Neurospora crassa OR74A: one gene and its partner. The protein of the gene in region 2 interacts with the protein of the main gene of each other region in a biochemical or structural test. Links are inferred from orthologs where the notes say so. Each region holds a gene or a part of one and is shown on either strand. Other genes may lie near its edges. The genes, in order: NCU02113 and mus-41.

Region 1 (4,135 bases), on a different chromosome or scaffold from region 2:
CGCTCTGGTTTGTCGGTCTTTTCGTAGTTCCAGAACTTGATGGTTTTGTCCAAGGAGCAGGTGACCAGGCAGGGGGCATCAGTCCGATTCCAGTCGATACCGTAGATTTTGGACGTGTGAGCACAAATGGTCTTGAGGGGTTCGACAGTCTTTCGGTCGTCCCAGATATGAAGCAATCGATCGTGAGCCGAAGCAATGACATGAGGGTCTTGACGACTGTATTTGACCTGCGTTGCACCGGCAAACCAGTCACAGAATGACAGAGCAGGCTGTCTCGGTCTTCTCAGATCCCAGTGATGAACATAACCGTCAACTGAGCAACTGGCTAGAAGATCTGGGTGGTGAGCGGAAAAGTTAATGTCGGTGATGGCCCGACTATGGGCTTGCAACGAGTGCTCGATGGCTCCAGAGGGCGAGTCGTCCCTCATGTTGAGGTTCCATACCAGACAGCGATGGTTTGCTGTCGAAGCCACCCAGTAGTCACGAGCTGCAAAGGGAGACCATTGAACATCGACCACCAGCCACGGGAGGCCATGGCTGCTCAGTCTTCGTGGTGGATTCCATGGCGAGTCCAGGTCTATGATGGCGAGGCCCTCGGGGGAAGCAAGAGCAACATCACGGCCCGAGGGTGAGATGGTGGCGGAGCCCACCAAGCCATCAACATGGATGGTCAGGTCGGCATCGAAGCTCTCACTGTCGAAGGCTGACTTGATTGTTTTCGCCTTCTTTGGCGGAGAGTCAAATACGGAGGGCATATTGCGGGATCAGGATTGGACGAGACGGTGCAGCATGGTGCGTATCCTCCCTCATCCCATTCTCAGTGCTGGAGTTTGACTGAAGTGGTAAACCAAGGATGAGTTGGGTTGAGTTGAGTTGACGGGACTTGACGAGACTTTATGTTGAACTAGACCAGGTCCCCCAAGGACGAATAACCTGGCATTCGTAGGGCGTCTCGGGAATGGTGAAGTCGAATGCAAACCGAAATGATCACAGGAGGTCGTCGTCGTCGATCAATGCAAAACATATCGAGAGGCGTCGATATCAGCGGAAGAAAGTGTGAAGGCCGGCAGGTTGGAAGACAACTGGACGTGGAATGGAGAAACCGTTCGACCAAGATGGAGAATCTCTCAGCTCTCTCTCTCACACACACTCTCTCTCTTCTCTTCAATTGGAAGGTCAACCTGACAACGGCGTCAACCTCGACAAGGCGCCGATGAACAGTTGGAGACACGAACGGCACCTCACTCAGCGGTGCAGTGGCAGTGACTTTGGCCAGTACACTACACTAGGTAGGAGGTACCTTCTCGATCATGTGGTCTGTGCGCTTATCGCGAGATCCCGATTAGGTAGAGGAATGGATGATGGAAGCCGATTCCATCCCATCACATGGATCCGCATGCCTCTAGCCCAGGTACCTAGGTAGGCCACCTCTGGCTGTCGCTGTCAGGGCCGTGACCGCTGTCACAGGGCATTCAGTGGTTTGGTCAGAGAGGCACGCCGCGGGTTCATTCGTCAGCGCATCCCACACACCCGACCTTCTTCCACTTTGCCTTCCAGTTCCATTCCGCGTTCCATCATCGAGAACTTCCCGTCCCGCCTTGCTCGTGAATAATTGCCCGTGTCGCAAGAGATTACCGTAGGTTCTGCCGATTTCGACTTGTCTCCAACAAGTTCACAAGGAACAGAATCGACTGCCTTGCGACGATTTTGGTCTAGCCATACCTACCTACCTACGTACCTCTACTACCGCTTTTACCACACATTCCCTAGGTTATTTACAGGCCCTTTCGCACCGTGATAGCGCAGTACACTGTTCGTTACTGTTTGCCTCGATTTGTCAACCGGAGCCTCCGAAACGCCTCTTTAAACTGCCCTCTGACATCCAGCATAACAATCGGCGATAGCCCCTCCACTTGCCCTCCTGTCTCTCCCAGCCTCAGCGACAAACATTTTCCTCACCACCATTTCTGCCACTGGCTTGTCGAGCTTCCTTTCGCACTAAACACCAACAGCAATTAATCTAATCACCATGGCGCTTCCGAAGCGGATTGTCAAAGAGACCGAAAGGCTGATGGCGGAGCCGTACGTACATACCATCCTCATCCCGAGAAGCAAACAGTCTAGACCAAAGTCCTAACTTCTCCTTCCTGATCGCAGTGTCCCGGGTATTAGTGCTGTTCCCCACGAAGACAACCTTCGCTATTTCGACGTCGAGATCCACGGCCCTTCGCAATCGCCATATGAGGGTTGGTCTTCCTTGAACCCCACGGCTGCCGTTACATTCATCTCTTACCTTCCGTGCGCCATGAGAACATACCACATGATCGCTAACAGGAGAACCAAACACCCACACAGGTGGTGTCTTCAAGCTCGAACTCTTCCTTCCCGATGACTATCCCATGACCCCTCCCAAGATCCGCTTCCTTACCAAGATCTACCACCCCAACGTCGACAAGCTGGGTCGCATCTGCCTCGACGTCCTCAAGAGTGAGTAGTCCCGAGAAAGAAAAGCCGCGATAGTTGGATACGCCAGTTCCGAAAAGCTAACACACGATACCAAACCCGACAGACAACTGGTCCCCCGCCCTCCAAATCCGCACCATCCTCCTCTCCATCCAAGCCCTCCTAGGCGCCCCCAACCCCGACGACCCGCTCGCCCCCGACGTGGCCAAGACCTGGAAGGAGAACCCCAGCGTTGCCGTCGCCACCGCCCGGGAATGGACACAGCAGTACGCCTTGCCATCCCAGTAGGGTCGGAGGCTGGCACCAGGAATCAACGAAATCCCGGGACAGGGCCTCATGGCTCACGCGCCGACATATGACCCTTATGGAGGAAACTTTGACCCATATCGGTTTGGGCCTTAGGACGGCAATTGACAGGAGCAGCTGGTTGTTCTGGTCTTGAAGCAGAGATGAATCACCAAGGCCAGCAAGTGGCTGTGGCAAAATAACAGAGAGGATCATAAAGGGAAAGCAGTGGAAGAAGTTGGTCTAGGTGTTTGTGTGAAGCACGGCGCTGGTGGTGTATCATGCACCCACCTAGGGTGCATACGGAACGCACAAAGAGAAAGCCCGTGAGAGGGGAATGAGGAAGGGAAGGCTACACGAGATAAGGAGAGACAACGAATACTGGATCGATGGACGAGGAAGGGGCACGTATGATGGGTTGAGTGAAGGATGCCATGGTGGATGCAACAGCGCCACGCGGCGCCAAGGCAGACACCAGAAGGAGGAGTTTTCGAACATAGAGAACATCCTTTCGAAGCGTTGTGTTTTCAGGTGTTGTTTTTTTCGCAGCGATAGAGTACCGGGTAGGGCTGTTCAAATACTACTTACATATCTTGCAACATGACCACTGTTCGGATTTGCGTCTGTGAGTGGGGTGGATGAGCCTTTGGATCAGATGTAGCGGTAAGCTTCAATAAACTCACGATAACACATATAAAATGAAGGGCGGTGTGGTTTATACTGAAAGACACCGGCCATCTTCACAACCAGTAAGTACGAACACGATTGATTGCTTAGCTTCTGTACAAGCGAAAACACTGATACCTGCAGTCATCTTGAATAGACACCTATAACCTGTTAATATAATCTCGAGGATTCCAGCCGGGATGCAAAGTCCAAAACTTTACTATAGAATACATAGAGTGGTTAGGTAGCCATCGGAATGGAATGGATGGTTCCAAGGGAGTTATCAGAGGGAGGGAGGTTCACAGAGGAATTTGCGACAGGAGGAATTCCATTCATGAACTAGAACCCCCAAGTTCCTTCCCTTTTTTTTTGGGATGGGTGGGAGGGATGAAAGGAGGGCCGCGGAAGAGGACTGAACAGATGGACCGACTTGGGACGGGAGATAGAGAGGTTGTGGAGAAGTATATCTATCGAACGAGGAGAGCACTACTACCTAACTAAGTAAGTACCACAGACAGTCTTTCGGAGGACGGTGCGTAACTTCAAACTGATATCTGATACAATGTCTGATGTTTCTTGATGTTTAGTCGACTTAGCTATCAGTTCTAGAATCGAGGTATTTAGGCACTTTGACAACAACAAACGCAACGCATCATGATGGAAACATCGCGGTGCGTCCAAATGATGAAGAAAATATGGACATATAAAAAAGAAAATAAGT
Region 2 (4,523 bases):
GGTGCCGGCCTGCATATTGTCAAAGAGCGTTCGCTTGGCGCGGTTGAAGACGTAGTCGTAGACTGCCCTTTCAGGCTCGGAGAGTTCGATGTCGACGATCTCGATGTGTTTGGGCGGAAGCGGAACAAGGAACTGGCCATCCGGGGTCTTCATGTCTTTGGTGCGGCGCATGACGAGCGGTTCGAGGACGGTTTGGACGACGTCTAAGGCGCGGACAAAGTTCTTGGACTCAAAGGGGACGGTGATGAAGGTCCGCCAGAAGGAAAAATTGTTCCATGGCTCAACGCGTAGGAAACGGACCAGGCTGAAGAGGTCTTCGAGGCGATTGACAATGGGGGTTCCGGTGAGGACCCAGCGGTGTTCGGCGGCAATTTCGTAGCATGCGCGGGAGGTCTTAGCTTGGCGGTTCTTGATATTATGTGCTTCGTCCAGAATGACACGGAAGAAGTTGAGGGAGAAAAGCCCGCGGCTGCTGAGTCTGTCTCCATTCTTGGTGGCGAGTTGGGTAAACTCGGAGAGGACGACTCCATAGCTGGTGATGATCACATCTGGAGCGTTGGCCGCGTTGGCTTCGCAGCACATGGTCACCAGATCGACATTCTTTTCCGCCCCGTAGTACATCATGGTCTTGAACGTGCCCTCCTTGGAAGCATTCTCAGCTTCGCTTTGCCATTGCGCCAGCAAGGACATGGGGGCAACCACAAGGGTTGTGCACGGAGCGTCAATTGTCGTCTTCTGTCCAGAGACTGTTGGTAGGCGTGGGAGGTTGTTGACCGAGGTAGGGCCAGCCTCCCGCGCCTTGATGGCTACTTCGGATCGGTGAGAATGGATCAGGGAAAGCATCTGGATGGTTTTGCCTGTGATACATGACTGTGAGCTGGATATCAGGTCAAAGAGAAAAGAAAAATGTAAAAGGCAAACCCACCAAGTCCCATCTCGTCTGCCAAGATTCCACCAAGACAATGCTGCTCTTGTTTGGGGAAGTCCAGTGACAGATCGCCAGAGTATGGGTTGACGTAGAAGCAAGGTTGGTCAGGAACCACAGGTAGGTCCTTATCGTCATGGTCCTTGGTCGGCCACACGTACTCTTCCCATAGGGGATGCATGGATGTTTCACGGTCTTCTGTTCGCTGGTTCTTCTCCTTGGCCAGCATCCAGTACAGCGACTGCTTCTGGTAGGGACGCAAGGTCATGGCGAAGGTATTAGCTGGTTCAGCCTCGGGGGTGCTAAAGTCGAAGGATTGGGCCTTCTTGTACAGCGCGTCGAGTTGGTCTTGTTCGAGCTCCTGGCCCTCTTCGGCCTCTTCGGGGGGAGAAGCTAATCCGTTAGTGTTGTGGTCCCCAGCCTTGGCCTTGTCCATCGCCTTCTTCTCGGCCGAATCTGCTGCTTCAAGAAGGTCTTTCCTGGCGTCCTTGGCGGCAGCGGCGTTGCCTCGAGACGGAACAATGTTGATCTCTTGAAACAGTCTGACAAGCGCCACTTGTCTCAGTCGCAGGTCCTTCTCTTCTGTTGTCTCGTCTTTCTCGTGGAACCCGGCAGCCCTATTGTCGGCTAGTTGGAGGGTTCTCCCCAAGAAGGCAGACCGTAGCATGTAGCACTTGAGCTGCAAGAAGACGGTCTCGTTCGTTCGTAGACGCTCGGGCGCGTAAACACAGATGCCTTCGAATCTGCAGATGTTCTGGTCTATTAGCGTTGACACCCAGTTGGCTGTGTCTTTGGCTAGACGGCCGAGTTCCCTGCCACTGGCGTCGTTGAAGCGGACTATGACATCGACACGTTTGGCAGCTGCCGCGCTGACTCGTGGTATGGACTGCGGGGTGCCAGGCTTGGTCTGCCCTTTTCTTGCAACGGTAGGTGGTTGGATCTTTTGGCGCTCAATCTTGACGCTGTCACCGTGTCTGAGGAGGCCTGTCCCGCTTCTGGTAGCCCATCCCTCAACACCAAATGCGCCGACGTAGCGGGCGTCTGGCATTGATGGGAGAACCTTTGTTGGTGTGTTCGATTGCGGCTGTGGTTGGGCTTGAGCGTGCGACCGGGACCGTGCTTGTGATGTTGATGATTTCTTGGGAGACTGACCTCCTACAACCAGGGGCGAATGCGAGTTGACTCTGACTGGAGGCGCCCGGTGCAGCTTTTTCCATGTTCCATCCAGGTACATGTTGACGGCTCTTTCGATGTTGTTGCCGCAGTTCTTGCTGATGACGTGGAGGATATCGGACGCAACCTTTTCGCCAACAAAAGCTTCGAATGTGTCTTTGTCGAAGGCCAGCTGGGGGGACTCGACCACTGGGGGTGCCACGTCCCGGGGTGTCGCGATCGGAGTATCGACGTCTTTCAAGAGATATCCTTTTCTAGGGTCTGGTTTGGGCATGTCGTTGAGCCAGGGAGCACATATCTTCGTGGCGTGGGGCGTTAGGGTGCCATCGTCTGTGAAGAATCTTGGGCGTTCTTCGTCGTCGTCGTCGTCGTCGTCGTCGTCGTCGTCATTGTGGTCCGCATCTTTGGAAACTCGTGGCTGGACTTCACTGTTTGGGTCTTGGAGGAGTTTCTTCCTGGGTGGTGAGCTCGGGGGAGCACTGAACTGGGGAGACGAGCTGGGGCCGCCAGCGACATGGTCCGAATCACCCTGGTCGCCCAGGAACCGGCGCTTCTTGGAGAGAGGCTCGTTGGTGAAGTCCATGGTGTCGTGTCGGTCCATCCAGGTGTTGGTTGTTCAGCCCATTAGGTTCAAGGTAGGTACAGTACCTCTAGGTAGTCGTACCACGGGTGTACGGTATCAGTCAGCTACTGTCACCCAACCGACTCGAATGCACCAACTGCAATGGTGAACTTCAGTGTTGCGCCTGTGAGACGCGACTGTGCCGTGGCAACCGTGAAACTTTGGCGTGCATTCGTTTCCGCCTTCCCGCTGTCAGGTGATTGCGCGCCACCCTAGAGGTAATTAATTACGCCCTCTGCAGTGTACAGTCCAGTGCTGGGTTGTTTGTTAGCTGGGTACACTAGGTACTGTACCATACTCTATACACTAGACGAAACCTAATCTATCCCAATTAGTCCTAAACCCTCTAAGAAGAGATCGAAATAGTTGGTATAAAGGTTAAAAGATATTAGTACTATTTGATATGGCATTCAGAATATTACAAATGGTGTATCCATGGTAAGATCACGCATTGATTAGCTATGAAAACGCATCGGAAAGTTGATGCGAGGTCTCGAACTAACAAGCAAACCAGTACTGGATTGTATGGAAAGCCAGAAGCTTGGGCCACTGAAGCCATTTAATGCCGTCATCGCTGCTAACCATAAAGGCTTTAGAGGCGCCGCGCTTGTGATGCTGAGGGGCGCAGCGTAACATGGTCTCAGCGAATTGTCAAATCAACATGTCCTGTCGTCGTCGGCTTGTCTTCCTCCCCGCTGCTGCCGAGGTTGTCTTGTCTCTTGTTACAGTGAGAGATGTGAACCACTTTGTGACAGCGGGGAAAACAGTACCGCTTCTTTGATCATGATATCCCCTCGAGCGGCAGGTTGTTGTCATGGCCTGGGGCGGGCACCTCTACGGCCCCGTCTACGTCTCCAGCCTCAGAGGCCTTCGTGGCAGCCTTCCCTCTCCGGACGAGGCCTCGCGACAGTCACAGACGGCGACGTCGAAAAGGCCCGTCAGTACTGTGAGAACCAGCTCAAGTCTGTCTCTGCTTTCCCTCCCCATACCTAGCCATTCTTCCCACTTGCCCTTCTTTCTCTGCTAACTCTTTCTCCCCCCACCCCAGACATGGTGACTACGAAGCTTTTCTCCTCCGACAATTCGTCCCTCCTTCCTCTCGGGACGCCTACAACGCCCTCCGTACCCTGAACCTCGAACTTGCCCGTCTCCCCGAGACAGTTTCCAACCCGACCATCGCACGCATGCGCATGTCCTTTTGGCGTGAAACCGTGAACAGCGTCTTTGCCGGCAATCCCCCACGCGAGCCCATCTCCATCCTCCTCCACCAAGCCATCCAAGACCTCAAAGCCCGCGCCGGCCCCAACAGCGCCAGCTCTCTCAAGTTCTGGCTCCTACGCTTGATCAACACGCGCGAGCAACACATGGAAAACAGGCCCTTTGTCAGCTTGAACTCGCTGGAAGACTACGCCGAGAATACGTACGCGACGCTGATGTATGTGACCTTGGCTTCCATGCCTTTGCGATCAGTACATATGGACCACCTGGCTAGTCACATCGGCAAGGCGTGCGGCATCGTAGCCACACTACGCGGCATTCCCGTTCTCGCCGCTCCATCGCAGCCCATCCAGGGTCCGGCTGGGAGCGTGGGCAACACCCGGCATCCCGCCCTGCTACTACCCCTCGATGTGATGGCCGAGGTGGGGGTCAGAGAAGAAGATGTCTTTCGCCACGGACCCAACGCTGAGGGACTGCAGGATTCCGTGTTCAAGGTGGCTACAAGGGCCAATGACCATTTGATAACGGCGAGGGAGATGTTGAAGAACTTGAAGGCCGGGGAAGAGGTGGGCCATGATTATGAGC

What was found.
Region 1: the proteins of mus-41 (region 2) and NCU02113 form a complex in vitro, tested with the Saccharomyces cerevisiae proteins (3 studies listed by BioGRID). The link is inferred for Neurospora crassa OR74A from reciprocal best matches to the Saccharomyces cerevisiae genes RAD5 and UBC13.

The regions. Positions count from the first base shown.
Region 1 is NC_026501.1:1,237,315-1,241,449, reverse strand, and holds NCU02113 (ubiquitin-conjugating enzyme E2 13), read left to right. Parts: upstream 1-1,478; 5' UTR 1,479-2,029; coding exon 2,030-2,082; intron 2,083-2,157; coding exon 2,158-2,246; intron 2,247-2,355; coding exon 2,356-2,487; intron 2,488-2,569; coding exon 2,570-2,751; 3' UTR 2,752-3,352; downstream 3,353-4,135. Other genes in the region: NCU02112 (hypothetical protein), read right to left, coding at 1-755. UniProt on the Saccharomyces cerevisiae protein: Has a role in the DNA error-free postreplication repair (PRR) pathway. The UBC13/MMS2 heterodimer catalyzes the synthesis of non-canonical poly-ubiquitin chains that are linked through 'Lys-63'.
Region 2 is NC_026503.1:36,054-40,576, reverse strand, and holds the start of mus-41 (DNA repair protein rad-5), read right to left. Parts: upstream 2,886-4,523; 5' UTR 2,700-2,885; coding exon 926-2,699; intron 858-925; coding exon 1-857. Other genes in the region: NCU09517 (hypothetical protein), read left to right, coding at 3,504-3,682, 3,769-4,523. UniProt on the Saccharomyces cerevisiae protein: Probable helicase, member of the UBC2/RAD6 epistasis group. Functions with the DNA repair protein RAD18 in error-free postreplication DNA repair.